Linked DNA regions of Coturnix japonica. Each later gene encodes a partner of the first gene's protein in a complex. Links are inferred from orthologs where the notes say so. Each region holds a gene or a part of one and is shown in the gene's direction. Other genes may lie near its edges.

Evidence for each region.
Region 2: KAT7 (region 1) and MEAF6 share a complex: the UniProt entries of both Homo sapiens proteins name them as parts of the HBO1 complex. The link is inferred for Coturnix japonica from reciprocal best matches to the Homo sapiens genes KAT7 and MEAF6.
Region 3: KAT7 (region 1) and JADE2 share a complex: the UniProt entries of both Homo sapiens proteins name them as parts of the HBO1 complex. The link is inferred for Coturnix japonica from reciprocal best matches to the Homo sapiens genes KAT7 and JADE2.
Region 4: KAT7 (region 1) and JADE3 share a complex: the UniProt entries of both Homo sapiens proteins name them as parts of the HBO1 complex. The link is inferred for Coturnix japonica from reciprocal best matches to the Homo sapiens genes KAT7 and JADE3.

The regions. Positions count from the first base shown.
Region 1 is NC_029542.1:2,707,214-2,714,519, reverse strand, and holds the start of KAT7 (histone acetyltransferase KAT7), read left to right. Parts: upstream 1-3,123; 5' UTR 3,124-3,335; coding exon 3,336-3,350; intron 3,351-4,645; coding exon 4,646-4,793; intron 4,794-5,593; coding exon 5,594-5,770; intron 5,771-5,965; coding exon 5,966-6,205; intron 6,206-6,755; coding exon 6,756-6,838; intron 6,839-7,059; coding exon 7,060-7,149; intron 7,150-7,306. UniProt on the Homo sapiens protein: Catalytic subunit of histone acetyltransferase HBO1 complexes, which specifically mediate acetylation of histone H3 at 'Lys-14' (H3K14ac), thereby regulating various processes, such as gene transcription, protein ubiquitination, immune regulation, stem cell pluripotent and self-renewal maintenance and embryonic development.
Region 2 is NC_029538.1:3,340,717-3,348,219, forward strand, and holds the start of MEAF6 (chromatin modification-related protein MEAF6), read left to right. Parts: upstream 1-3,293; 5' UTR 3,294-3,343; coding exon 3,344-3,439; intron 3,440-3,563; coding exon 3,564-3,679; intron 3,680-4,139; coding exon 4,140-4,227; intron 4,228-4,334; coding exon 4,335-4,380; intron 4,381-4,802; coding exon 4,803-4,992; intron 4,993-5,235; coding exon of another isoform or gene 5,236-5,260; exon of another isoform or gene 5,261-5,978; intron 5,979-7,503. Other genes in the region: SNIP1 (smad nuclear-interacting protein 1), read left to right, coding at 313-896, 1,558-1,822.
Region 3 is NC_029528.1:2,388,971-2,395,728, forward strand, and holds part of JADE2 (E3 ubiquitin-protein ligase Jade-2), read left to right. Parts: coding exon 1-410; intron 411-2,412; coding exon 2,413-2,530; intron 2,531-2,661; coding exon of another isoform or gene 2,662-2,672; exon of another isoform or gene 2,673-3,101; intron 3,102-6,081; coding exon 6,082-6,210; intron 6,211-6,758. UniProt on the Homo sapiens protein: Scaffold subunit of some HBO1 complexes, which have a histone H4 acetyltransferase activity. Acts as an E3 ubiquitin-protein ligase mediating the ubiquitination and subsequent proteasomal degradation of target protein histone demethylase KDM1A.
Region 4 is NC_029516.1:117,321,916-117,329,119, reverse strand, and holds the start of JADE3 (protein Jade-3), read left to right. Parts: upstream 1-2,425; 5' UTR 2,426-2,557; intron 2,558-2,700; exon of another isoform or gene 2,701-2,753; intron 2,754-7,204. UniProt on the Homo sapiens protein: Scaffold subunit of some HBO1 complexes, which have a histone H4 acetyltransferase activity.

The DNA.
Region 1 (7,306 bases):
AAGGTTCCCACCAGTCACAGTAAGCACAATTTAGGCTCCAACCCCTGCTCTAAAGAAGGGCCAAAGTAGATCAGGTTGCTCAGGGACCTGTCCAAAAATATAACCAGCAAGCAGCAGCCAGGCTTCACTTATCTTATAGTAAGAGTGCCCTTGTCAGAGTGACCCACTTCAGTACAGGCCTTTAAGACACATCAAGCTGTGAGCAGAGATTCTCCAAGCTTTATATGTGTGGATCAGAAGGTTCTTTTATGCTGCTCTATTAGAGAACGGACACTGAAGGGAAGCAAGTTGGAACCCAAACCAGATCAAACTCAGCTGTACTCACCTTCAGAAGATGTGAACACAAAGTGAAGTAGTCCTGGATCCTCGTGTCTGTGTGGCAACACTCCATAGAGCTGCAGCATACAAGCATGGTGCTGCCTTTGTGTGACTGCAGCCCCCACAGCTGGTCTGAGATAGCACCTAAAAGCAAGGAAGAATGGTTGAAATACAGCACTTCAGATATTTCTGCAGCAGAGTCTCATCACTCAGTGTTTGTCCCACTTGCCTTAAAACATGCTGAAACAGGTACAGTAACCCTGGAGGAATGCAGCATAGCAAACAGCACGCAAAGTAATTAAAGTGAATGCTTTAAGATCTGGAAAGCAAGTGAGAAACCTGAAGCATTTTCATTCTGCTTCAGAACAACTCCTACATAAGCAGCCTACCTTGTACCACCACTAACCTAAGCAATAGCTGCATTAAGATCCCTCAGACAGATCACCCAGCACCACAGCAAGCACAAACCAAGGCAAGAAACTGGACATTTAAATCTTATTTAAGCCTATTGATGTCCATACCTGTTTATGGAGATTGTGGATGGGTTTTTGGTGGAGATTCCCTTCTCATTGCCTGTATTTGCTAACAGATCCCTCTCTGTACATAGGAGGATGCTTTGGTTTCAAAGAGGTTTAGTGAGGATCAAGGCCTAAAAAGACTCCAACAGATTCACCTAGGTTTCCTGTTATCTACCTCTGCTGCCCTTCATGGCAATTGAGAATGTGAATATATTCAAGAAGCCAGGATTTAAGAAACGAAACACACATTTTTGTGTCATTTAACATGAAACTTCAAATCATCAAACACCTTCTAAACTTCCTTTAGAAGCAACACCAGGAAATTCCTCATTTCCTGCCTGGAACATTCTGCTAGTTAAGCCACTAAACTTACCTCAAGAACCTTATTAAGGCAACTTAACCCCCAGGAGACATAAGTATGAGCAGAGGATATCATTCCTCCTCCTCAATTGATTCCTAATTTGTCTGCCTTGCTCTGGTTGTAGTTTCAAGCACTGACATCTAGTGGTGAAGCCAACACAAGGATTTATCTGCTCCGGTTTCACTGCTATTTTCCCCATCACCTTCAGCTCCAATAGATGTCTATAGTGGAACTTTGCATTTCCAACCATTGCCACAAATATCCTCTACATACAGACCCATTCAAACACCACACAGATTATCATGTCCACCAGAAGCAGCCTAAGTTTGGGCTGTATCTACTCTATTTCCATTAAAGCCCTTCATCAGTTTGCAACATGATATACATTCACTGTGGCGAGGTCTCACTTGCAACTAGGACGTATTCAGATCAATGCTTCCCTTTTCCATCTATTAAGAAGCGTGTCGTTTTCCTCTGCTCCCATTCCTGCTGCCATTTAGTTACACACACATCATATTCTGAACTAAGCATTTCAGGTCATTCTAACAGCATAGAAACGCATTAGATGTTGGGGTCAAGTGCAATTTGAGACACGTTTGGGCTTCTTTCAGTCCATTCCTCATATAAAGTTGGAAGAATTGATGCATTATGCTGCAATTTGGGTCACTGAAAGAACACCAGAAGAACAAGTTGTTCTGGGGATGAGAGTGCAAAATGCTTACACTGAATGTAAACTGAATGTACTATTTGCAACCAATGCAAAGGTTCCCACCTCACACAGCACACACACAGCTTCCAATTCCTCTCTTTTTAAGCTAAAAACAGACATTCCATTTGACTCCTCCATGTTTCCCTTCCAGCATCCTATAGATCCTAAGAGCAACAAGTAGCAATGAAAGCAACTTGCATGACTAAAGGTGACACAAAGCACCGGGATTATAGGATTAAACCGCGATTATTCGATAATCCCTAAAGATAAATTAAATACAAACAGATCACACGTTTAACCAAACGCCCTCATTCTCAGCAGGGCTGAGGGAAAATCGCATCCCTGTTGCAAGCTGAGCTGGGAGAGAAACACAAGGGCAAATGTTCATACACACACATAGAAATGATGAGGAGATAAAGGTTAACCAACAGCAAAGGCCCATCTGTATAAGGGAGGGAAGGAGGGAGTAGGCCCAGAGCGCCTCAGGCCTACAGGGCCCACACCTCAGAGGCCTACAGGGCTCAGGCCTGCAGGGCCCACCTCAGGCCTGCAGGGCCCACACCGCAGAGGCCTACGGGGCCCACCTGAGGCCTACACAGCCAACCTCAGAGGCCTGCGGGGCCCACACCGCAGAGGCCTATAGGGCCCACCTCGGGCCTACGGGGCCCGCACCTCAGAGGCCTACGGGGCCCACCTCGGGCCTACAGGGCCCACCCCGCAGAGGCCTACATACAGGGCCCACACCACAGAGGCCTACAGGGCCCAACCTCAGAGGCCTACAGGGCTCAGGCCTACACGGCCCACCTCAGGCCTACACGGCCCGCCCAGCCCCGCCCGCCACAGCGAGGAGCCGCGGCCTAGTGCAAGACCGCACGCAGGGCAGACGGCAGCACCCCTTGACGAGGAGGGCCGTCCGGCCGCCGCTCCCCGCCTCCGCCGTAAAATGAACGGGGACTCACCGCCTTTCTCCTCCACCCAATCAATCACTCCATCACCCCGACGGCGCGTTTCTGCCCGGCCCCAACATGGCGCCACGCGGAGTGTCTGTGAACACCCGTTAGACTTCACTCCCTCACTCAACATGGCCGCCGCCGCAAGCCCCGATTCCCGCCGAGTTGGGGGGGGGGGGAGCCCAAAACCAAGATGGCCGCCCCAACTTCACTCTTAGACAGCCAAAAACAAAGATGGCGGCTCCCGCTGGCGTGAGGCTCGCGCGGCGTCACGTGACAAGGGGGGTGTGGGCCGCGTCCCGGCGGAAGCGTGAGGGACCGAGCGGGGAGTCGGGCTGGCGGCGGAACAGACGGGCCGTAGGGCGGGCGATACGGCCGGCACCACGGAGCCCGCCGGCACCAACACGGCGGCCAACGCCGCTTCACGAACCGGGGGAGCCGGGGAACAAGCAGCATCGCTGCCCCCGCCCCCTCCGAGGATGCCGCGCAGGAAGGTGAGTGAGGCCGGGGAGGGAGCGGCAGGGTCAGGACGTGGCTTTCTATCTTTCCCCTCCTTTCTATTTAACTGTTATGGGGAGAAAATAGGGGGGAAATAGCGGCCTGCAGCACCCCCACATCTGCGCCCGCCCCCCTCGCTCGCTTATTGGCTGTTGCAGAGACCCGCGCAGCGCTGATTGGCCGCCCCGCTCGTCACTCATCGCCCCCAACGGTTCCCCTTTTCCTCCCCCTCCGCCTGCAGCGCGTCCCTCCTCTCGGTTTCTCCCATTGGGCAAACGGTTAAAGAGTCGGCCGCCTATTGGCTGGGTTGTCACACTGGGCTGGCCGCTGATTGGCTACCACGGTTGTCCATCACCTCTCAACGGTCACCTCCCCGCGCGTGCCTCGTTCCTCCCCTCCCCCACCCCACTCCTCTCCGGTGGGGGTTGAGCAAACCTCTCCCTGATTGGCTACCACCAGCTGTCACTCACACCCTACCGGCATGCTCCTTCTCTCATTGGCGAGCTCACCTTTCCGGTCCCACCCACTCGCTTTATGATTGGCCGAGACTATAGAGCGCAAAACAAAGCGGCCTAAGGGCGGTGTGCGCGCTCAGTGGCCGCCACTCGCTCCTCACAGGCCCGGAGCCTGAAGGCCGCTGTCGTTATACAGGCCTCGTTTGCGGCCTAAGCTGAACACAGGCCTCTGGGCCTAAACCGAACACAGGCCTCTGGGCCTAAGCTGAACACAGGCCTCGGGTCTAAGCTGAACACAGCTTCGTTGCCTACCGTGCTCCCTCCTGTTGTTTTCCAGGCCCAGGTTTGCTCTGTGTGGTGTACAACTGACTCATCCCCTGCTAGGCCCCGTCTATTCCCCCCCATTACCCCTCTGGGCCTTCAGGGTGATGATTATTAATGACACAAAAGGGTTTATATCTGCCATGAAACGCTTGGCATTTATATATTGAACACATCACAGTGTCAACTCAATGTTATCTATCATATGCTTTCTATATGGGTTTATAACATGGCACATCACAGCATACACTCAATGTTATCATATGCTTTCTGTATGGGTTTTTAATGTGGCACATCACAGCATACACTCAATATCTATCATATGCTTTCTGTATGGGTTTATAAGGTGGCACATCACAGCATACACTCAATGTTATCATATGCTTTCTGTATGGGTTTATAACGTGGTATATCACAGCATACACTCAATGTTATCCATCATATGCTTTCTGTATGGGTTTTTAATGTGGTATATAAGCACATCCCTGCTGATATCCTTGTCTATGGTGTCGTAGAGGAACGCGGGCAGCAGCTCAGATGGAACAGAAGACTCGGATTTCTCCACGGATCCGGAGCACACGGACAGCTCTGAAAGCGACGCCACGTCACGACGGTCCGCCCGTGTCACCCGCTCCTCAGCCAGGCTCAGCCAGAGCTCCCAAGGTAAAGCACCTCATAACACATCAAGCAGGAGGATTTAACCTTGGTAGTTATATTGGTAAGCAAAAGAGGGAGGTAATCATATATGTCAAGATGTGCTTTCAAGGCTTGTTTTGCTTGCCTTTACGCCCAGTTTAAAAGAAGAAGCCTATGTCCACCTCCTGATTTTTAGCTTTACAATATCAATTCCTTGATCTCTTGGTTATTAAGCTGCCTCAAGGGGAGAAAATGGCAGTAGATAAGTTTGTTCCTTCTGTGTTGTTTTGTGATGGGTTTTCTTGTAGGTAAAAAACCTACTTGCATGCCTCAAAAACAAGAAGAAAAGTGGGTTGGGTTGGTATGTGGGATGCCTGTAATGCTGCTAGGGTATGAAAGCATTGTTTTCATGCAGAATAAACTGTTTTATAACCTTATGAGCAGTGTGTCTATATAAAACCATACGTGGTGTCCCAAATGTGTCTCTATACCAGGAGCAGCTTTGATATTCTCAAGAGTTTTCTAAATGCTGATAGCTGTAATCTAAGTTAATCGCTACTACTTTCTAAATGGGAACTGTTTGTAATTCCTAATCCATTAAGTTATTATCTCAGAGAAAGTGGATGTAATACCAGATCCATGTGTGTTTGTAAAAGTGAATTAGAAGAATATAAACGTATCTCCGTGATGATGTGCAATGGTTGCACAGAATCCTGTGCTGATACCCTATCAGATGTCGGTGTTACAGACATCAGAGCTCATGTGTTGCAGCTCACGGGCATTCATTGCTTCTTGTGGGTGTAATTATGGTGTTTCTATGACATTAGATTCCAGCCCAGTTCGCAATCCGCCCTCATTTGGAGCAGAAGAACCAGTCTATTCCACGAGGAGAGTGACCCGCAGCCAGCAGCAGCCTGCTCCTGTGACTCCAAAGAAATACCCACTCCGACAGACCCGCTCGTCTGGATCAGAAACAGAACAAGTGGTTGACTTCTCTGACAGAGGTACGTAGACACAGTGAGGTGTCGAGAGCTTGTAAAATGCCATTGGAAAGGATATGTGGCTCCATTCTCTGGGCACAGTGTGATATCCTCAGGTTAGAGGGTTTGAGACAGCTATCCAGAGTTGCTTTACATATATATATATATATTTGAAAGCTTTCTTTCTGGCAAATTTGTAACATCTTGATCCTTGTTCAGACACTAAAAATGCAGCGGATCACGATGAGTCTCCACCTCGTACCCCCACCGGGAATGCCCCTTCCTCAGAGTCTGATATTGATATCTCCAGTCCAAATGTATCCCATGATGAGAGCATTGCCAAGGACATGTCCATGAAGGATTCTGGAAGTGACCTGTCTCACCGCCCTAAGCGCCGCCGCTTCCATGAAAGCTACAATTTCAACATGAAATGTCCCACTCCTGGTTGTAACTCTTTAGGTAATTTCAGTTCCAGGATTGATTTGTTGACTTTTTTTGCCTTCCTGTGGTGATATTAAGCCCCCCCCTCCGTTGATTTATACAACGTAACGATAGGGAGCTGCTTAGAATCAGAAACAGTACTGAGAATTGGGTATAGAGAAGAGTTACGGAGCATATCCACAGCTCTATCTTTATTGTCTAGAGGTGTTTGGGGGACGATGGGATAAAGAGCAAGTTAGGAGAGTAAGCACAGGTGTGGGAGGAGAATGCAGAGCCTTGTAGGTGAGGGTATTGATCTCAGCCAAAAGCAGGTTCTCAGCAACAGATGAATGCAGTCATCTAATGTACCTGACTGCCTGCATGGAGCGCAGCTTTTGAGTTAATGTGAAAGGGATTTTCCTTCTTTGTTCTTATAGCTTGTGCCACGAAGCATGAAATGTTTTCCTCCTACCACACTGTTAACAAATTGAGTTATTCTCTTGAGAAGCTCGTATGCAGTATCTGACCATCTGGGCTGCATTTAATGATCATATGCTGAAAGCTTTCTCTTTTTCCTGATCCTTTACAGGACACCTAACTGGAAAACACGAGCGACACTTCTCCATATCAGGATGCCCACTGTATCACAACCTGTCAGCAGATGAGTGCAAGGTAATGAAGTCTTCTGTTTTATCTCCCTTATGCTTTTATAGGGCGGAGTGCCAAGACTTGTTGTTTGTGCATAGGAAATAGTGTGATCCAGCTGATATCCTTAGCTATAAGACAGCAGCATTTGTCAAATAATTTATGTTACACCTAAACAGACAAAGGGACAAGATGGAAGCTGTGACAGTAGTTTGCTGCAGTGTTGATGGTGGAGTTTTGACTTCCAGGTGCGAGCACAAAGCCGGGATAAACAGATTGAGGAGAGAATGCTGGCCCATCGGCAGGATGACAACAACAGGCACGCCACCAGGCACCAGGTGGGCAGTCTTCATGTAGTGGAGTGGCTGCTCTGTTAAGAGTAGGAAAAAACTCAGCTTAGGTTTCTAGTGACAGTGACTTTAACTCGATCTCCCTTCTTTACCACTTAGTTAAGCTATCGTGTTAAGTCCTGTGGCTCTCTTTTGCAATCTCAAA
Region 2 (7,503 bases), on another chromosome or scaffold:
AGAGAGAGTCTTACAGTGTAACATCTCCTTGCTCTCTGCTTCGTGTTTTCCTGGAAAGAACTGAGTGTTTGTACCTTTTAGTGAGCCCAGCCCCTGTTATTCCTGTAAGAAAATGAGTATTTGTGCCTTTAAGTGAGCCCAGCCTGCAGGCTGACCCTGAAGGCTGATGTTATGATGCATTGCTCTCTGTCAGCCTTGCATTGTTGGGCCCAAGTTGTGGGAATTCACTTTGGAAGGAAATAAATAAATCTAGATATACACGTACCATGTTACAGTCTGTGTTTTTCATGTGTTTTCTGTCTTCTTCCTCAGGAACGAGACGATCATCCTCACAGAGGAAATGAAGAGAGAAAGCAGAGACACACGTCAGAGCAAGAACACAGACGAGATAGAAGCGGTGACAGAGACAGGCACAGAGATCACTCAGACAGGAGGAAAAAGGAGGAAAGACCTGGAGGTCGAGGCCATGAGAGAGAAAGAGATGTTCAGAACATCCGTGAGCAACAAGCAGAGAGGGAGTTCTATAACGAAAGAAGACGAGAGCATCGACAGAACAACGAGGGGAGCGGTGCTGAGCAGAATCCAGAACACAAACAATCTGATAACAAACCAAAAGATAAAGCTGTAAACAAAGAAAAACCAAGCTTTGAACTGTCTGGTGCCCTTCTGGAGGATACCAACACTTTCCGAGGCGTTGTGATTAAATACAGTGAGCCCCCAGAAGCTCGGATTCCAAAGAAACGATGGCGTCTCTATCCATTTAAAAACGATGAGTTCCTGCCTGTCATGTACATTCATAGGCAGAGTGCTTATCTCCTGGGCAGGCACCGCAGGATAGCAGATATCCCCATTGATCATCCCTCCTGCTCAAAGCAACACGCTGTGTTCCAATACCGGTCAGTATCGCTCTGTATCCCTCTGGTAGGTGGGGATTATTTGGTCGCTTGCGTGCAAAGGGAATCAAAGAACGTATTGGATGTGCACAGATTAGAAAATGCATGTTTGCTCAATGGTTTTAGATAGGTGGAATTTAGGTATGGATGTAACATATATGTAATTCCTTTTTGTTTAACCATAAGCAGCCTCGTGACTCTTAACATATATATAATTCCTTTTGGTTTAACCATATCTAGACTTTTAGTAAGAAACACAACACAACAGGATGAAATACAGAACTGCCTGTATATCTGAATTGGAGTTATTAGCAGGTGGGATTGGCAATAAAGAACGTTTAAAGGAGGGTTTTTCATTTGTTCCTTCCCAACAAAGGCTGCCGATCTCCTTTATAAACAGCAGGGTTGTGTGCTTCAGGAGGCAGAGCTGCTCTCTTAAGGAACAACCATCTGTTCTGCTTCAGGATTTACTATGTTATATGATCATAACTTTAAGGGGTGAAGCAGTCTGTCAGAATCTTGAGTATTTCCGTGCCCTGTCTAATTATTCTCATTGTACTTGCTCAGATCTTTGAAGTATGGTTAAGTATTTACAACAGTGGGGCTGATGTGTTGAAAAATCCATGTGTTATCATTGACTTGATGGGTTGTTTTTGTTTTCTAGGCTTGTGGAGCACACACGCGCTGATGGCACAGTTGGCCGCAGGGTAAAGCCGTATATCATTGATCTTGGTTCTGGCAATGGTACTTTTCTAAACAACCAGAGGATTGAGCCTCAACGTTACTACGAACTGAAAGAAAAGGATGTATTGAAGTTTGGCTTCAGCAGCAGGGAGTACGTCCTTCTCCATGAATCATCTGATAAATCAGAGGCCAACGCAAAGGACGATGATGAGGAAGAGGAGAAGGAGGAAGAGTCCGATAGTTAACAGACATGAAGGCAATTGGGGATGGGGGAGCAGGGGAGAGGAATCTTTTACAATAAAACATGCATTGGGATGGAGATGTTGGAGCATCAAAGCACTGGTGCTTCTTATTGCCTTAAAGTCCTTCTGTTGCTGACTGGTTCTTATGGTTTATTGTGGGGGACTCCACTGAATATTTGGCTTTGGTAGGTCTGTATAGTGGGAAATCTGACTTATTTCACCCCCCTGACAAGCAAAAGAGCAGCTGGATGTGAATGATCTGATGCTGGAAACATGTTCAAAGATGGTTTTCTGCTGGATAAAGAAACGATGTAGAACACAGCAAAGTGTATTTAAGAATATTTTTATCCACTGTTTTTTGTCATAAGCCTTTGAAAACGCTACTGAACTGAGGTGTTAGTTTCAAATGTAACCCCATGCATTGTTTGTAATGTCTTGTTTTGTAGAGTTTGCCAAATTCTAGAGTTCTAGAAGGGAGAATGACCAGGTTTGCTACTAAAAGAGGGATATTGCAAAGGTTTTATGTGTCCTGGGTGGTTGCTCTGCACTGTGAGCAATGGGCATTTGACCACAATGAGCTGCCTGTCGATTCCAAGGTAAGTGAGAAGAAAAGGAAACACAACCTGAGGCTTTTAGGTTGCAACGATGTGGTTTGGGAGGGCTGAGGTCCACATCAATGCACGCTATACATTGCAGCACCCAAACTATGGCTGACTGTCATGTATCTCCTAAACCTCAGCCCTTTGTTTCTATCAGCTCCATGAGTAACTTAATGTTTTTTGTTTGTAATTGTACTCGTTACGTGGTGGCATGTTTTTATTACCCGGTTTGCACTATTTAAGTTTTTCTTTATATATATATATATATATATAAAAAGAACTGAAGCTCTCGTTGCTTTCTAACATTCTCCCCCACAGGAAAAGCTTTAGGAAGAGGAAATTAAAAACCCCAATGACTGGAAACAAACACATCTCACCTCTTTGTGGCTGTCTGTTCCCTATGGTTTCCATGTTGATGCTTAACACACTGTTGCCTGTTTGTTCTATGGCCACACACACAACCTGTATACACACACTGGAGCATTGATGGTGTAAATACGGGGTGTTGATATAGGTTTTCATATAGAAAGCAGGATAGATCTTGGCTTGAAGGATCACCTTTATATATATACACAATCTCAAGGTTTTTAAATAAAGAATTTGTAATTCTATTTAATTGTAATGTTTCTTTCCTATATCCCTATTTCCCCCCCATGCACTGCACAGGGAAGCACTGAGCCCTGCTTTTGAGCTGCTGAGTGAGCAGAAGGGTTCAACCTTATATTCGAGGTTTGCCTTGTTGTTTATTGCACAGACCCAAATCCTGGATGCTTTTAGGGCTCCCCATCACCCCCCTCCCATGTCCCTATTAAGCCCGACCCTATAGCGGCTGCGGGGCGGAGCAGGGGGGCGGAGCGCTGTTCAGTGCTGCCCCCTAGCGGCCATTCCCCGCAGCCCCGCCCGCTCCCCGCAGGCCGCAGCCGCCATGGCCGCCCTGCACGCTAAGTCCGGCGGACCCCCGCAAATCCCGGACACCCGAAGGGAGCTGGCCGAGCTGGTGAAACGCAAACAGGAGCTGGCGGTGAGCAGGGAGCGATGGGGACGGGGGGGATAAAGTGGGAAGGCGGTGAGGCTTGTGGTTGTGGTTGTGGCCTTAAGGTAAGGCCAGGCCCGCTTCTATGCATCGCGCTGTGTGTGCCCGGTAGGAGACGCTGGCCAACCTGGAAAGGCAGATTTATGCTTTCGAAGGGAGTTACCTGGAGGACACGCAGATGTACGGCAACATCATCCGCGGCTGGGACCGTTATCTCACCAACCAGAAGTGAGTGTGGACCCCAAACCCGCCCTCCCATCCATCCCAACCCCCCACCCCCCCTTTCCATGACCCCCAAACCCCCCTCCCATACATTCCAACCCCCCCCTTCCCATGGACCCCCAAATCCCCCTCTCCATCCATCCAACCCTCCCCGGCTTCCATACCCCCAAACCCCCTTCCCATTCTCCCAACCCCTCCCCTTCCCATGGACCCTCCAAAACCCCCTCCCCATCATCCCAACCCCTCCCCTTCCATGACCCCCAGAACCCCCCCTTCCATGACCCCAAACCCCGCCTTCCCATCCATCCCAGCCCCCCCCTTTCCATGGACCCTCAGCCCCGCCTCTCTCCCATCCATCCCAACCCGCCCCCCTTCCTTCCATGGGACCCCCAAACCCCCCTCCCCATCCATCCAACCCCCCCCCCCCCTTCCATGGGCCGCCTCCATCCTCTTTTCTCCTTTGCAGGAACTCCAACAGCAAAAACGACCGCAGGAACCGCAAGTTTAAAGAGGCCGAGAGGCTCTTCAGCAAATCCTCAGTCACTTCTGCTGCGGTAAGAGCTGCCCCCAGCCCCCAACCCCATGGGACCAAGCTGCTGTGGGTATCTGTTAAGCCATGAGTGCATCCCTGTTGTCATTAACACCCATTTCATCCTTCCAGGCTGTCAGTGCGTTAGCTGGAGTCCAGGATCAGCTCATTGAGAAGCGTAAGTCACCTCTTCACTTGGCAGAATTAGGAAGAATTGAGCTTCTCCCCACAGCTCGGCCCCATCTCTGCTTTGTTGGGCTCTCTGCTGTCCACTTTGGATGGAGAAACCAGGATTGAAGTGATGCCTTTAGATGTCTTGTGTCTCTCCATCAGCTGCACGTGGCTATGGGAGGAGATAAGAGCTTCACTACTGGAGGCTGCAGCCTGTTGTGGGCATCCAGCTTTAAGACCTTTCCTTCTGCTGTCACCATGGCTTTGGGTCTGACAGCAGGGCTGCATTTCCAGTCCTTGGCACCAGAAATTTGGGTGTCTGTAGTTCTTGTAGCCCTTTTTTCCCCCCCATACTTTGCAGGAGCAGCCCTGGGATGTGAACAGTGAGGTGATAATCATTGGGCTCTTCTGCTTCTCGTCCCATTCCAGGTGAGCCGGGCAGTGGGACTGAAAGCGACACATCTCCAGACTTCCATAATCAGGAGAACGAACCCAGCCAGGAGGATGCTGAGGAGTTGGATGGATCAGTGCAAGGGGTGAAACCCCAAAAAGCAGCTTCTTCCACTTCTGGAAGCCATCACAGCAGCCACAAAAAAAGGAAGAATAAAAACAGGCACAGGTTAGTGGCACCGACAGCCTTCTAGTAGTGCAATGGGAACGGTTGGCTCTTGCTGATGATGTGAAGGGAGCTAGTAACTCGTCAGGTCGTTTGGTTCTATCACTTGCTTTGAAGCTGCCTGTGCTCCTGCTGCTCTCCTTGTGTCAGGGAGGGAGGCAGCTCAGCAGGCATATTCAGCACAGGGTACTCACAGCTCAGGTGTTTCTGACCAGGCTTTGTGGGTTCTTTTCTCTTTTCAAGCAGAATAAAGCTGTCTTCCCTGCAGTAGAGGAAGATGACAGCCCCGGCTTCCTGTGGTTGTTCTTTGGTTTCTACTGAGCTAAGGGAGATAGGAATGTCAGTGCTTTCTTTGGAGGAGGAGGATGGAAAACAGCTTAGAGTGTTCTGGGGGCTGCCGACACTCACTATCTTTACTACATTTTCTACTCCAAAGCTTTCCTGTTATCGTGTCCCAGAGTCCTTTGATTATAGCACGTACAAGTTGCTCTATCACACAGACCACAAGCTCTTGTTATTAAACTGGCCTGAAATTCACATGAAACAGATTTCCTGAGCTCTTTGTGATTGAATTTAGGTGACCACTTCAACCCTTTAAGGCGCACCTTCAAGGCAAGATGCAGCACAGTGGGCTGACAGCTCACATTGGGATTCATTGAATTCCAGTGCTGCTTTCCCTGGATGTCAGGTTCTTATTGAGCTCATTGGCTTTGGGTATGGATGGATATTCCTCTTTGAGGAGCCTTCCTATACAAATGGTTTATAATACAGTGATAGATCCCACAGGGACTGCTGGGAAAAGGTCTGTCTGGGAGACACCAAGGTAGGTGTAGTGCCTGAAAGCCAATTAATTACGACTTATTAGTTAGATTTTCAGCCATTAGCATTTTTAATTGGAAGGTCAGGGTTTTCTCCCCACAGCAGCCTTATTCAGGCACACATCCCAAAGTATTGGATGTCCTTTTGGGTTCCTCCTGAGCAAGGAACCAGCAACAGTTCAGAAGTGGTTTTTAGCCCTCAGGCAGTTGGGAGGAAGGCCAGGAGTAACAGAGCACGTCTCTAAACCACTTCAGAGAAACAATCTGTACGACTGAAGTACAGCATAAGAATGCTGCTGTTTCAAACAGAATCCAAAGCACTGCTGGGCACTTACATGGACCACAAAGCAATCTGCTGCAGGTACAGTGGGGTCTGCTGCAAATGCCATAAATAATATAAACTCTTTTGCTCCGTTACATCACCCAAACTGTAGTGACGGGTGTTAGGAAGAAACTGCCCTACTGAAAGCTTGTGTTGCTTTGGGGTTTCTTCTGCATTCCTTCCTGTGAAGCAGCTACTATTGGAGACACAATATTGGACATGAGGAGCCCTGGTCTGATCTGGTATGACAATTCTTATCATCCTAAGAGATGCATCTAAAGAACCCAAAGGATTTTGCAGTAATGCTTAGCATGGCCAGGTAGTGGAAAGTGATTAAATGTGTTTGTAATGCAAACTGTTAGAAGTTGTGATCGCTGCTAACGACTGCCCCCTAAATTACAGCAGAAGAGCCTGAGTGATCTTCAAGTATATCCAGGTTTAAACCAAACAAAAGCCAGTCCCAGCTTTGTTAATGGCACAGCTCATTCAGAAGCTCTTTCATTTCCAGCCTATGTTTGAATTCTGCTCACCTGAAGGACTGGGAGCTGCTGGGAATGGATGCTCTGAAGGTGCATTGACTTCCACCAGTGGCAGCGAGGAGAGGTGGATTCAAATTGAGCAGAGCTGGTGTGAACAGCTGGGTTAATTTCTGACTATTCAAACAGGGGATCACATGGCAGTGCTTTATTGAAGCCATCCTCTCTTCCCTCAGACCATAGAAGGCCCAGATGGTGATTTTCTATGCGTTCAGCAATTATTCTCAGGGCTAAAAAGTGTTTTAGGGGAAAACAGTCCTTCCTCATAGGGATCCGGTGCTGAGAAGCACCAAATAGAGCAGTGAGGGTTGGGGTAAAGTGCCACCAGTGTGAGAGCTGAGATGTGGGGTGGGAATGCAATGAGCCACAATTGGACTCAGCCATGGCACCATTCCGAGCTCCCAAAGGGATGTGGGTGGAAGGCTGTGTGTTGTGTGAGTATTGGGAACATTGAGTGCGTACGTGGCCACGTGGCTTCATGGTTGTGTCCACCTCTGCCTGAACAAGCTTTGCTTTGCTTAATAATCCAGACAAAGCCACTGCTTTCTGACCACCCGTTGAGGTTTTGCGAGCAAATCCGTTTCCTGATCTCCCTCTGAGCTCAGCACACAGCATTCCCTGCATAACACCGCTCCTAACACCTCCCCATCCTTGAGATCCACCTGGGAATGGGACAATATCCACCCTGCAGTGCTTTTTCTTATGCCCCATTCTGGTTAAAGACACTTTGCAGAACTTCATGGCGTTTGAACACCGGCTTTTATTTCTTCATTGACTTTGTTTTTAGCGTTCTCGCTTAGGGTGGCTAATGGACTAATTGATTTAATTCCTTAGTGTA
Region 3 (6,758 bases), on another chromosome or scaffold:
ACAACCTCGACATGCGGACTATTTTAGCAGACAACGATGAAGTGAAGTTTAAGTCCTTCTGCCTGGAGCACAGCACCGGTGCCACCAAACTACCCGAGGAGGCACGGACAGAACCTGACCAAGCCCAGCTGGACCTGGAGAAGGTGACGCTGCGGAAACAAAAGCTCCAGCAGCTGGAGGAGGACTTCTATGAACTCGTGAAGCCTTCCGAGGTGGCAGAAAACCTCGATTTAAGTGAGTCGCTGGTGGATTTTGTCTATCAGTACTGGAAGCTGAAGAGGAAAGCAAACTCCAACAAACCGCTGCTGACACCAAAAACGGATGAAGTGGACAACTTGGCTCAGCAGGAGCAGGATGTTCTCTACCGGCGCTTGAAGCTTTTCACACACCTCAGGCAAGACCTGGAGAGGGTGAGTGTGGTTTTCCCTGTAATGGCAAACCCATGTGCTCCATCAGGGTGGTTGTTGTGCATCCCTTTACAGACTGCTATGCTTACCTGTCCCAGGAGGCTCAGGGTGGATTTGGGGTGATGGCAGCCCCCAGCAGCTCTCCAGGCAGTGTTTAGAAATGAACTGAGGGTTGAGGTTTAGCTCTGCAAATATGTCAGTCCCATTTCCTGGATATCCTGATGTGGTCCTCCCCGCTTTTCCTCCTTTTCTTCTTGGCCCTTTTTGTTTAAAGCCTTTACCAAGAGCTGGCTGTTTAAATTAGTTGTAACAAAAAGCTGTATGGTTCCCAGGCTTTCATCCCAGCATCTCAGCTTGGCTGGGGAAGCAGTGCGGGTGCTGTCTTACTGTCTAAGTGTGTGTAAATACCAGCAGTCTCTCTAAGCAGAGTGCAAGTGATGCTTTCTTCCAGGAGTATAAAATTGCAGAGAGGAGATATTGCCAAACACTTTGATATATTGCTTGCCAGAGGCAGTTGTTTTCCTCATAAAGAAATTTCAGTTTGATGTTTTCTTCCATCCAGAACAAAAAAAAAAAGAGAATGTAGTAAAATATGAAGCAGCGAGCAGTGTGCTGTATATTTACAGCTAGGAGATGGAGGGGGAAAAAAGCCTTTCTGTCCTGTACACCTGAGTGTTCCCAGACTGTCCCCAGGTGGCAGTGAGGCCCCAGGCTGCTCACTGTGCCCATGTGTGGGTTCACAGCTTGGCTAACCCCACCAAAACCAGTCATGTCCTGGGGAACCACTGCATGGCTGCAGCCATGGTGACAGAGCTGGGCTGCCCCAGTCATGCTGCACACAGTGGCACTGAGCCGTGACACCAGGCTGGCAATGGAGCTGTCTGCAGCTGCATGCCCATGAGAAGCAGCTGTGATACCATTGGTTTGCATGAGAGCTGCAGGAAATGGGGGATGCATCTTGCCCCATGATGGATGTGCTGCTGGTGGGAGCTTGTCCTGGGGGGCTGGGGATGGGGAAGGAAGCGTTAGGGAAAAGCTTATTTCTTGTCCTCAGTGGCTTGCACTTAGAGCTTCCCTCTCAGTAAAATGTCGTGAGCTGTAGTACAAAACGAAGTGAGACTGCAGGTACCTGTGGGGCAAACACGAATCAGTGTGTGGAGGGGAAGGTGCTGGCCAGCTGTGGGTCAGGACAGCCACATCTGCACGTGGCTACTGGCGCAGTCTGATGTCAGCTGTGTGTTCTGCTCTGTTTGTACACCGTCAGCACCCACTGCAGGGCAGTGGGCAGTTCTGCATGGCTCATGCAGGCAGCACAGCTGGGGCCTGGCTCTGCCCTCCTTGCTCACCTCCATGCTGGATGCAAAAGGAGAACTGATGGATAAGAGTGGAAATAGTTCTCCAATAGCCCCACAACTTCTGATGCGAGTCCCTGTGTCGAGTGTGAAGTGCTCCATGATAGGAGGGGATGCCCCAGCCCCCAGCTGCATTACAGTACTGCTCCCATGGCGTCCCAACCTCTGAGACCTACATAATGCTTTAGAAACATTAACTGCATCATTAGGCCTGTGAGCAATTAATGGGAGATTACAACAGTTTGCGCATCCACACTGTTGCTGCGTGGTTTCTGGTAAGGTACCTGGGGTTCTCTTAGCTCTGTTCCCTTTTGGTGAGTATTGCTCTCTTTATGCATTAATGTTCTTCAGCAGAACAGATTGAAGGATGCGCTGCAGGTTAACCCTGACTGCTCAGGGCAGTGCCCTGGCCACGTTTTCCTGCCCAAGAGCTGTGTTAGAAAGTATGGGTGCAGAAGTGTGAATCCTGCTTGTGAGTTCTGCCTGTGAAGGAGAGGTTACAGACTAAGCTGGGTGTTTGTGTTCAGCCTGGGTGAGGATGAGAGGATGGACAGCCAGGCACAGAGCTGTCCCCAGGAAGCAAAACAGTGATGCAGCTTGGGGACTCATTTCCAGCCCTGCTAAACCAGACACTGTTTCTTGTGTTTCTTTAGGTTAGAAATCTCTGTTACATGGTGACGAGGCGGGAGAAAATGAAACACACCATTTGCAAACTCCAGGAGCAGATCTTCCACCTGCAGATGATACTCATTGAGAAAGATCTTTACCCAGGTCAGTACCACTTGCAGGATCTGCTCAGTGCCCTCTGAACCTTAGTACCCCAGCAGAGGAAGGCAGAGCCTCCCCTGCCCTGCTGGCTGCTTCCAGCTCAGTTCCTATGTTGACTCATCAAACATTGACAGCTTTGTTCTGAAGTGTGCAGTGATGCCTTACCATGGAGGACCGAGGTGCCAGCAGTCCTTGCTGTCACACATCTCTCCTGATCCTCACTCAGATGACCACTGTTAGGTGCTGGTGCTAAAACAGAATCCCAGGGTTCACGTGAAGGTGCTACTGCAGTAGCACTTGATTCCATTCCTCGCTTTGAAAGCAAGTCCTGAGCACGGGGCTGTGCTCCTCAGCACTGCCTGGCCCTGTGAAGCAGCTCTGGGGTCTGTTTGGTTCCCTCTGGTTGTGTCAGAAGTGAAGCTGTGGATGGGATGACTTCTACTTCCTTCAGCTCTGTGGCCTGTAGTTCTTCCTGCTCCGTTATACTGGCTAGTGGGAATGACACACGTACTTCCTGCAAAACCTCTGGCACCTCTTTGTTAAGGAGCTGAAATAAAGTTGTTTTCCTTCTGTCTTTTTTTTTCCTCTTTTAAACAAGCATTGCCCAAACCCACAGCCCTGCATCCCTCCTTCTTTCTTCCAGTGGCAGCACAGGACCAGGCTCTGTGGCTGCAGAACACTTTTTCCAGAAGCAGCATCTGGAGCTTTGGCAAACGCATCCGACTCTTGTTGTGTTTGTGGCTTTGGAGTTGCATTTGAAGCCATCACATGTTTGGGGTTTCTTCAGGAACTGTCTGGGCTGAGCTTTCCTTTACAAAGGTTTCCTTTGACTGAAGTTTTGGAGGCTGAGACGTGTGTGTGTGTGTTGAGACGTGTGGGGCTTGGATCCTGTGCAGATTGCCCTGCATGGCTGGGGCTGGGCAGCACAGGGCCCAGGGTGTGCAATGGGGATGTGGGCTGATGGCAGGGGCAGGTTGCTGCTCCCCTGGTTAGCAGGTTTCACTGTAAGGGCTGTTTCAGGAGCACAGCCTGCTGTCACGTCGGCTCTTTGGGGAAGCTGGCTGAACCCATTTCTTCAGCTTGGTCCTTTTCCAGGAAGGCTTTTGGCAGGGTGGGAACTCGCCTTCTAGCATAGGACCATATGGAACTGGAGCACCAGAGCGTGGGGTGAGAGCTCCCAGTGGCATTAGGTGTGCACTGGGGGGAACTGGAGCACCTGTGAGTGTTTGGCCTGCCTGGAGGACTGTAGTTGTGGGGTGATTGATACAGCAGATAGGTATGCAGGCTTTGTAATTGCGTCTTGATGCAAGTGCTATTCCTATGTAGCCCCAAACACTTTGCATTTGCCTATGAGCTTTGTGCTCATATGCTTGTCTGAGCCAAGCTGCTGTTCATCTGCTGGGTGGCCTCCGTGGTGCTCTTTCCATGAGTCAAAGAGCACTTTGGTGTTTTATTTTCTGTTGACAGCACAGCTCCCCGCTGTGGGGTAGCACATCCCATCCCTCAGGCCATCCTTCCTTCAACCCTACACGCTGCTCCCATCCTCAGTGCCCTCATCCTACACGATTCTGTCAGCACCCATGTGTTTTGCTGGCTCTCCTCGCTTCAGGTGCCTTAGAGCTAAAGGTCCTCAGCAGCTCACAGGACCAAACCTATGGATACCATGCTGCTGTGTTCTGCATCGTTAGTGGTTGGAAAGTGATTTAGTGGCTGAGTGAGTTGCAGTCAATGGGGAATGGTCCCTGTAGCAATCCTCAGTGCTGCTCCTGACTGGATTGCTCTGCACGCCTGCAGTTCCTCAGAGAAAGAAGAAAATCTGCACTGTTTTGCATGGACAAAGCTGGTTTTTATCTGCTTTCATTATAGCTGTAACCAAAGTCTGTTGGGGTTATCCCAGAGATGGTTTAAGCTCAGGTTAGTTTTGGAATGGCTCCTCTATGAAGCGCCATTCTTGAGGGGTTTATTTTTCTCACTGATAAATGGTGATTTCAGCAGGAGGTTTTTAATAAAATCAGTGAGAACTGCCCATGTAAGATGAGCCCATCTCTCTCTCCCTTATTTTTATTGCATGAAGCAGAAAGAAAGCTCTGCCTGGCTTTGAAACATGGCTGCTATTTTGACAGGTCCCTCTTCACAAAGTAACGTTCACGTTTTTCTTTAGATCCGTTGTGCTGTCCAAACAAAGTTATGTTTTTATTTTGCAAGCAAAGTGAAAAATGTGTCTGTTTCTCCTGTTATTTGGCAGGAATGCAACAAATACCTGTTTTGCTTTTCTTTCTTGTGGTGAGCCCTGTGCTTGTGCGGGGTTCTGGCAGCTCTGGGACTGTTAACTCCCCTGTGCATGCAGGTGCTGTGCAGATGCCCTCCTCTGCTTGCCCGATATGTTTCCAGCCCAGCTGGAAGAAGAGGAGCCCTTCTCTGTGCTGCCCCCATCCAACACAGTAAATCTGATGTACTTGCATCAGCAACAGTTTCCAGTTCTTAACATTGTTGCTTTGGTAGCTGCATGGCTTTTGCAGGTCTGAGCTGCTGGTCGGGCTGACAACCTCCATCAGCTCACCTCCATCAGCTGCCCAGATGCTGGTGTAAGAGCAATGTCCTTCCCCCTTCAAAAATCAAACTGGATGCTTTAGCACAGACTTCTCTGGGCCTGAGAGAGTAACTAAAAACCTTTGGAGTATTGCACTTGGCAATACACGTTGTACTTTTATGGGGTATGTGTTTGTCCTGTTTACCCAAGAGGAATAAATCCAGTAGAAATTCGAAACCATTTAGGAAACATTGATTTTTAGCTGAACAGCTGCATAGCTTGCAGTTACATTCCTGCCTTTCCATAGGTGACGTTGCTCATCTTTCCTCCTCTGTTTAGCCATGTTCGATACACCGGTTTTATAGCTTTGTTTTTTTCCACCACTGTCTGTAATGAGTTTAAACAGTTACCACAGCTGAAAGGTAAAATCACACCAAGGTCTGCTGAAAAACACTGCCAATGCTATGCACTTTGCAGCTCAGTTCCTTCTGCAGCTGTGTCCACAGCCCGCCTGGGGTGTGCACAGGCAGTTTCTACGATGTGCCAGCAGGTTTGGAGGGTCTCTGGTCTCCTGGAGGGCTTTGGAATGGTCTGGGTGCATTGCTGTTCTTCTGGAGGGTTTCTGAATGGAGTTTGAGGTTATTTCTCATCTCCCAGTGGGTTTTACAGCAGGCTTTGGGCTTGTTCCTGGTCTCTGTGACGTTTCCAGAGCAGAGTTTGGGGGGTGTCCCCTCTGCTTCTCCCTGCAGTCCCCAGAACCCCATTCCAGGAGGGTGCCTTGGTGGCTGCACAATTTCTAGCAAGTTCTCTGCCTTTGGTGGCTCTGCTCTTGTGGCCGTGCCACAGCCCAAACCTCTTTTATGTAGCCTACAGGATTCACGTTTCCTTTACCTATAGAGACGTGAGCCTACTTTTGGCCAAGAAGTGGCACAGCCTTCGTCCCTGCAGGGTGTGCCCTGTGGAGCTGGCTCACCCTGGTGCCTTGTCTCACACAGAGTTTTCCTTTTTCTCTAAAAAATGCCAGAACAAACTGGGAAGAAGACAAAGGGTAAGAAAAGTGATCCAAGAAGGAAAGGAAGAGATGGTAGAAAAAATAGCCCTGAGAAGAAAGAAAAAAGGAAATCAGTCAACGAAACTGTGTTGGGACAACTGGGTAAGTCTGATTTTATGGGCACAGAGCTTCTGGTGGGCTGGCAGCTCTCTGGAGGCTCCTGCTTTTGGGGAGCAGCGTTGAGGAGTGCGGTGCAGCCCCCAGCCCATCCCATGTGGGATCAGCCCCAGCATGCCATGGCCACAGTGCTGCAGCAGAGACCTCACCCTGCTGGGTCCAGGCTATTAAACAGCCTTGGGGTTGCACAGCATGCAAGAAAAACTGCAATTGCACCCAGTGATAAAATCAGACTTACCCACTTCAAAGCAGGGCGGATCCTGTACATCTTCTGTGCCATTTTGCTTGCATGTACCTTCAGCACCATCAAGGCTGTTCCAGCGGATGCTTATCCCACATCCTGCTCTGCTTCATCAGCTTCAACCCCACCAGCAGAGCAGGGGGAGTTTTCAGGGCAAACTCTGTCCTATTGAATGGGTCCTACAGGGTTGTGGAAAGAAACTGCCCTTCAGTCAGTCTGGAAAACCAGGCAGCAGAGAAGAGGAGCGAGGTCTTAAAGCTTCACCAGGGTCTTGCAGTGTGCTGGATTTTAC
Region 4 (7,204 bases), on another chromosome or scaffold:
AGAAGAAAGCTACTCCGTGGCAATAATTAGCTTTCTTGTTTGCAGGTGGGTGTTTGTGCTTTGCTATAACACTTCAGTAATTTTGTTCATTGTGAAAAGAAAATAAGGGAGGTGAGCTGCCCCGTCTCTTGCAAGTAGCTGTCAGTGCTCGCTCTCATTTCAAGGGCATGATATCGAGGCTTCATCAACAGCGTCTGACCTGCCAATGAATCAAGTCTTAAGCGGTGGGTTTGAAAGAAAGGAGTAATGCCAAGCTTTGGTGTCGGCACGTTTCTTTTCTTATCAGGGATAAGTACAGCTGCTCCCATGGAGGATTACGTGTTCAGGATGGGAATGTTGCATAGACTTGGAGGTAAGGGGTACAAATGAAGGGATATGAACCTTCTTCCTCCCCCCCACCTCCTCCCACTCTCTTCCCCAGCTGCTCCTTCACAGTGCTCTGACCTGTTGGCCGTCTGCTTCACTGCTCAGTGATCAGAGATAGCAGGTTTCATAGAAAACAGTGCATTTTCCATTGAAATCCGCTGCAGTACTTCTAGTTATTTCAATTATAGATACTTCTTTCATTGCTCGAGTCCACGTTAAACTTTGAGTGACCCAACTTCTCAGCTGTTAAACATTACTTCAGTGTAACTTTCTTAATACGTAATATACTGTGCGCAGCCTTTGTGGAGCTGCGCAGCGATTTGGTTCAACGTGAGCATGGTATAGATGTGTACATCACTTCATCCTGACCATAGCTCTTATATTTCTAGCTTCCACTGCATTCCTCCCCAGGGAGGACTTTAAGGTGCTGTGCTATATTTGATCAACGTGTTAACATCTGGCTTTGCGAATCCCTCCTATTCTCTAGGTGGGTACCAGCATCTGTAGTTCATCCTTGCTCAGGAAAGAGTGGGAACTGTTGCATGTGTATTTGCAAAGAGCAGCAGTGTACAATCTGCTTCCTATTTATTCGTCTCGCTACATCTTCCCATAGAACATAGAAATGTCGAGTTTTAAAATCCAAATGGATATATTGCTACATGAAAATGGTTTCCTTTCAGTCTGACTCAACCAGGTTTGAAATTCCCTTTATGACCAGGAATTGGTCTTCTCCTTTTATACACAGACTCGATTTTATCGTTCTGAGTTCTCTTCATTCTGGACTTCAAATCTCTTTGTCTCACTGCTGTTGCCTGCCCTACCGCCAAGGCCTCTGAGGTTAATAGAAGCTCCCACAAGCGTATGTGTGGGGAAGGTTCTATGATTCTATGAGGTTGTGCCTGGTGTTCTGCTTGACACTGTGCTTTACCCAATCTGCTCTCAGTGTTTTCCTGGCAAGTGTGTATCGATGAACAGAAAGCAAACCAGGCGATCACCGGTGCGTGAAGGAAGTCGCATGTATCAGCATCACCGCTGCTGTCTAACTGCATTAGTAGAAAGTTACGTTTTGCATTACACGCAGCAATAGTAAAGACAAGACTTTTCTTTTGCAGCAGGTACAATTGAGGTGTTGGGCTGGAGGGACCACCCTGTGGCCAGAGCTGCTGTGTCTTCAATGCCGCGAGCTGTCTCATGTCACTGCTTGGCTGCACCTGGCCTCGTGTGCATGCAGCAGCCTTCCCGTGCCTCCAGAAGCAGCGGGGCCGTGGGGAGGCTGCGGACAAGCCTGCGGTAAGGGGGTGAGCAATAAGGGGGTGAGCGATAAGGGGGTGAGAGGTCTCCCACTGCCCCTGACGCAAGGGGTACGTGGAGCAGGAGCACGGGGGCTGCGCTTGGGCACGAAGCCGAGTAACAGAGGAGGTTTGCTGTACATTAACGGAGGAGGTTTGCTGTATATTAACGGAGGAGGTTTGCTGCATATTGTTGCTTCCTTCGTTCTGAACGATGCCGCCCATTTCTGTTCCATGCGGTTCCAGCAGGGAGCTCCGCTGCGGGTCGGACGCTGAGGTGCCGGTTCAGCACAGCCCTAAGGTCGGCTCGGGGATTCTGGAGGAGCCTCGTGGAACTCCGGCCGAACGCTCTAAATTTAGCGCCCTCAGCAGCGGCTGGAAAGCGGCCGGGCCCGGGGCCGGCCCTGCGGCGGGTGAGTCAGCGGCGGGGCGCGGGGGGCCGAGCCGAGGGGCGGCCGAGCGGCCAAAGCCCACCCCGCGTCGCTCCGCCCCGGGGGGAGGGGGCCGCATCCCGCGGCCGGCAGGAAGGGCCCGGCGCGGGCAAAGGGAGGGAAGGGGAAGAGGCGGAGCCTGCCGCCCGGCGGTGTCAGCAGTACAATAGGGCTCTTGTGCGGCCGGAGGAGGGGTGGGGGCGGGCGCGGGCCTGGCCGCGGCGCGCCGAGCAGCCGGCACGCAGGGCGGGAGCCGCCGCCGGCCACGGGCCCGGGCGGGGGCGATGCGCGCCGGCGCGGGACGGCAGCAGCAGGAGCAGCAGCAGCAGCGGGAGCGGCAGCGACACCGGCGGCAGCCGCCGCGGAGGGAGCGTCGGCGCCAGCCCTGACGGCCACGGCCGCCCACGCCGGCGAGCTGAGAGGCGGCGGCGCTCCGGGCCGGGCCGGGCCGTGCCTCGCCGGCGGCGGGAGGTGAGCGCGGTCGGGCGGCCCGCGGGGAGGCGGGGCGGGGGTTGGGCCGCCGGGGCCGCCGCGCCGGGGCCTGTGCGCGGGGGGAGGCGCCGGCGGGGCCTGCGGCGGGCGGGAGGAGACGCTTGGCGCCAAGGCCGGAGAGGAGGAGGAGGAGGAGAAAGGAGCGGGCGGCGCGTCCCGCCGCGGTGCGGGCCCGGTACGTGGGGCGGCGCGGTACCCGGCCCGGCCGCCCGCCATCCCGCCATCCCCACGCGGGTTCGGCCGCATCCGGAGGGAAAAGTTGCGGCGGCGGCTCGGGCCGGGCGTGGCGGGGCGCGGGGGCCCGGGCTCGGCGCCCTTTTGTTCGGGGCGGGAGGCGGGCGGTTGGGCGTCCTGCCGGTGCCGAGTGGCTCCTGTCGGCACGGCGAGGAACTTGCTAGAAGTCAGTTTGACAATAAAGCACTGGCGCGACGCCTCCGCCGGGCGGCCCGAGAGCCGCGCTCCAAGGTGAGCGGCGGGCACACGGAGCGGGCGGGGCTACTGCCTCACAGCGGGCATGGCACGGCATATGAGCTCCGCAGGTAACGCGGGGCGGGGGGTGCTGGGTGTGGGCTGTCCTGAAAGGCATCCCTATGGCACACATTGGTGCTAACCCTTTTTTTCATTCTTTTTCAACTACTTTTACTAATTGTTATTATTTGTAAGAGTTGAGGTGTCATTGACAAATGGCTGCGTGTTTTAATTAAGATATCTCTACATTAGCGCTGTACGTGAAAGCTGTGGTTTTGCATATAGAAGAAGATGCAGGAGGTAACATCCGATCTGGATTAGAAACACTCTGATTAAAGTACACCGGTGACTTGAAAGCTCTAGTGCCTCTGTTGACATAAAAGAGCCTTTCCACTAAAACTAATGGGTGAAGGGAGCAGCCTCTTACGTCCCATTGGTGTTTGTCGCAGGCCGCTCTGCAGAGCATCACCAATACATGCACCTGCTGGGTGTGTGTGTCCCAGCCCTGGTTGGAGGCACTGGGGAGTGGGCTTGGGGAGGGAGGCTGCAGTGAGGCTGTTTGGGGCTGACTTTGCAGCTACCACAGAGTTCCCCGGTGGGATAAGAGAAGAGCATTCGTTTACCGTAAGGAAAAAACACAACTTTTTGGTCTCTTGCTAAGAAAGCACCTTTCCCGTTCAAACCAAGCTGCTGCTTTGAGGATGTGAAGCGTTGGCTGTTGGTTTTTTTTTCTTTAACTGAACTTCTGACCTCTTTCCAAACTAGATGTGACATGCTCTGCTCTTAATGCCAAAGAGGAGCAGAACAAAGCTCCTTTCCAAGAAGGCTGCCTTTGTATGTGGCAAAAGGCATCACCATAATTGCAGCTTCTTTTACCTGTCCTTCATTTGATGTTTCCTTCCCTGCTTTCCTTGTACAGGACTGGCTGCGCTCTCTTTCCCCCAGCAGCCGATTTCCCCCTGGGTTGGGTCAGGCAGCCCAGCAGTCTTTGGCTTCACGTGTTTCATGTACGTGTAGCAGGTATAGATTTTGTCTGTCCACCTGACCTTTGGTGTGAACATGAGTGTGCAAGGCTGTAGTGAGAGCTGCTGCATAGCTAGGGCTTTACTTTACTCACCATACACCAAAACAGAACTAATCAGAGCTTGCTGCTCTGTTGTGCAGGTTTAAGCTTTCCCAGCTCCCTCAGACCACTGCACACCCTTGGCTGCAGCTCCCCCAGACCTGTGGAATGTGTGGAGGGGGAAGCAGCTCCTGTTCCACTTTGTGGCATCTCTTTGTTTTGTGAAGATTTGAAGCGCTTGTAACACTCAAGGCTTCGTGTAATTGGAGACGTAAATGCAATTTTGAGATGCTTTACTTAAAATAGAAACTAATGAGTTAATAATAGCTCTTAGCAGGGGTATTTGTGTCACGAAAGCCAACAGATGCTGGTTGTGTCTTGAGAGGCTGCCGGGTGCATTAAACGTTGTGCTGGGGCTGGGTGCTGGTCAGGGCAGAGTGGGGGAGTATTAAGGTCTGCAGGGCCTGGTGTGGTGTGGGACACAGCCTCCTGCCTCACCAGGGTGAATGTTCCTGGTATCCAGCCTAAAACTTCTTTACAAAAAGGGCTGTTAAGCACTGGAATAAGCTTCCCAGGGAGGTGGTTGAGTCACCGTCCCTGGATGTGTTTAAAAACCCTTTACATGTGGTGCTCAGGGACATGATTTAGCAGAGGGTTGTTAGTTAGGGTAGCATGGTTAGGCTGCAGTTGGACTTGATGATCGTTAAGGTCTTTTCCAACCTGTGCTGTTCTATGGTTCTGTGATTATGGATGGGGCACTGGGACCTTCACTCCTTGAACCACATTTAACACTCCAGAGCATTTGTGTTCCTTACGCTTGTTGCTGCCTTACACTGTAGAGTGAAATGATTTGCTTATTGAACTGCAAGTTGAATGTAACGTATCATGTTGTTAATGCCTCGGTGTGTTTTAATTAGAGCTGGAGGGAGATGTTAAAAAACAGGTTTATACACATGCCTGACTGGTTGCTGAAACAAATAGGCCTGTCACACCATCTGGAGGGAGTCGTGTGTTATTTAGCTGTTCTACTGTCCAGGCCTCTTTCACTTGTTTTGTTTTCTTTCTTTCTTTCTTTCTTTCCCTTTTCTTCCTGTGTTTCCCCTTTCTGTAAATGCTACCTAAGGATGCTGTGTGGAGCTGCTGCACCTGCTGGAAGCTGCTGCTATGCTGAGGCTGCCATTGCTGTCCCACCTGCAGCATGCTCAGGTCGATGGCAGGGGCAGTGTGCTGCCCACCAACCCCCCAGTGTGTGACCATGCCATGGGTGGGAGTTGTGGTCGCAGTTAGTTGGCATTATCACAGAGTCACAGAATGACCCGGGTTGGAAGGGACCTCAAGGATCATGTAGTTCCAACCCCCCTGCCTGGCAGGGCCACCAAACATACACATTATGTCACAGAGTGTGCACTGTGTGGTGCACAAGACTGGCGGGCAGCTGCCATTTTGTGGTATGGGGCCTGGGGCTGGCACCATGAGGCCTGCATGGGGCCCAGCCTGTGAGCCACGCTGCTTCTGCCTGCGCTTCAACATGTCGTGCTGCGAGATCAAAGTGCTTCTCCTAGGTGAAGTGCACAATCACAGAATCACAGAATTGTAGGGGTTGGAAGGGACCTAGAAGATCATCGAGTCCAACCCCCCTAGCCAAAGCAGGCTCCCTACACCACGTCACCAGGTAGGCGTCCAGGCGGGTCTTGAATATCTCCAGAGAAGGAGACTCCACCACCTCCCTGGGCAGCCTGTTCCAGTGCTCCGTCACCCTCACTGTAAAGAAGCTGCTCGCACATTTCTACGAAGAACTTCTATGCTGTACTTTCATCCCATATTACCCCTAGTCCTGTCCCCACGCACTACTGAAAAACAGACCAGCCTCACCACTATGGCTTCCACAACCTCAGTATGTATAAAACTGGATCCAATCCTTCTCAGCCTTCTTTTCTCAAGGCCAAACAGACCCAGTTCCCTAAGTCTCCCCCCATGGGGGAGATGCTCCAGGCCTTTCACCATCTTAGTGGCCCTCCGCTGGACTCTTTCCAAGAGATCCCTGTCTTTTTTGTACTGGGGAGCCCAGAACTGGATGTGTCTGCTAGGAGTCTGAGAGAAAAGCTTTGTGTTTGTTTGGCTTTTCGTTAACGTGAAGACATTGCTGTTAGATTGACACAGCTGTTGGGTTGACAGAGGGATGTGGGTGTTTGCGAGCACTTGAAAATTGTAACTATACACAGAGCTTTCCTTCCTGCTGCTTTGAGCAGCAGTAGATTGATATTTAAATCTTCTCTTGTATCGTGTACAGCGTAATAAATGGGCAGTGTTTTCTTTCTACCTCAGTACAGAAAGCCCTGGGTTTGGGGCTGCTGTGTACAAAATGTATAGAAGCGTGCGTTCTGACAAGGGAGGAAAGAAATGTCCCTAGTGGGATTACTTGTGGTTTTTAATTCTCTTCATTGTTCTGCTTTTAACTGCTTGCATTTCTTTAATACCCTTTGTGCGCTGATTTACAGGCTTTGGTGTCGGAGCAGCTGTAGTGGAGTCACCGCTGAAGTAGTGCCACATTCCAAGCAGGTTTGGGCTGTAGTGGAGAAAGGCTCATGCAGCTAAAACGTGCTGTGTGTGTATGGAAGAGCAGGAGCAAGCGGTCAGTGCGGTGGCAGTGGGGTGAGATGGATCTCTGCAGAAGGGCATGGGGTGTCCCTCGCTTCTGTTAGCAAGGCAGGGTTTGCTTTCCTGCAGAGGGAAGAGAGCAGCAGAATTGTGCTCCTGTGCCTCCCTTGATGCAAATGGGCTCTTTTTTTGCTGCAGCTAATGGACTGAAGTGAAGTAGTGATAACAGGTGATGATTCGCAGTGAAAGGTAAACCTTGTTAAGCATTGTTTGATAGGAAGGAGAAGAAATGCTTGTTTGTAGCGCGGAAAATAGGTTTTTGTGTTTTCCAAGGCCGCCGACTGGTGATGTGACAGGGGAAGGATGGCTGGTCATCAGCACCGCTGCGCTGCGATAGCCCTAACCTTGTTTGGGGGAGTTCCAGCAACTCTCCCACATCGGCTTAATTCAAGAGCGGTTGTGTTCCTTTGAAAGAATCAAATTGACTGTCATTTAAG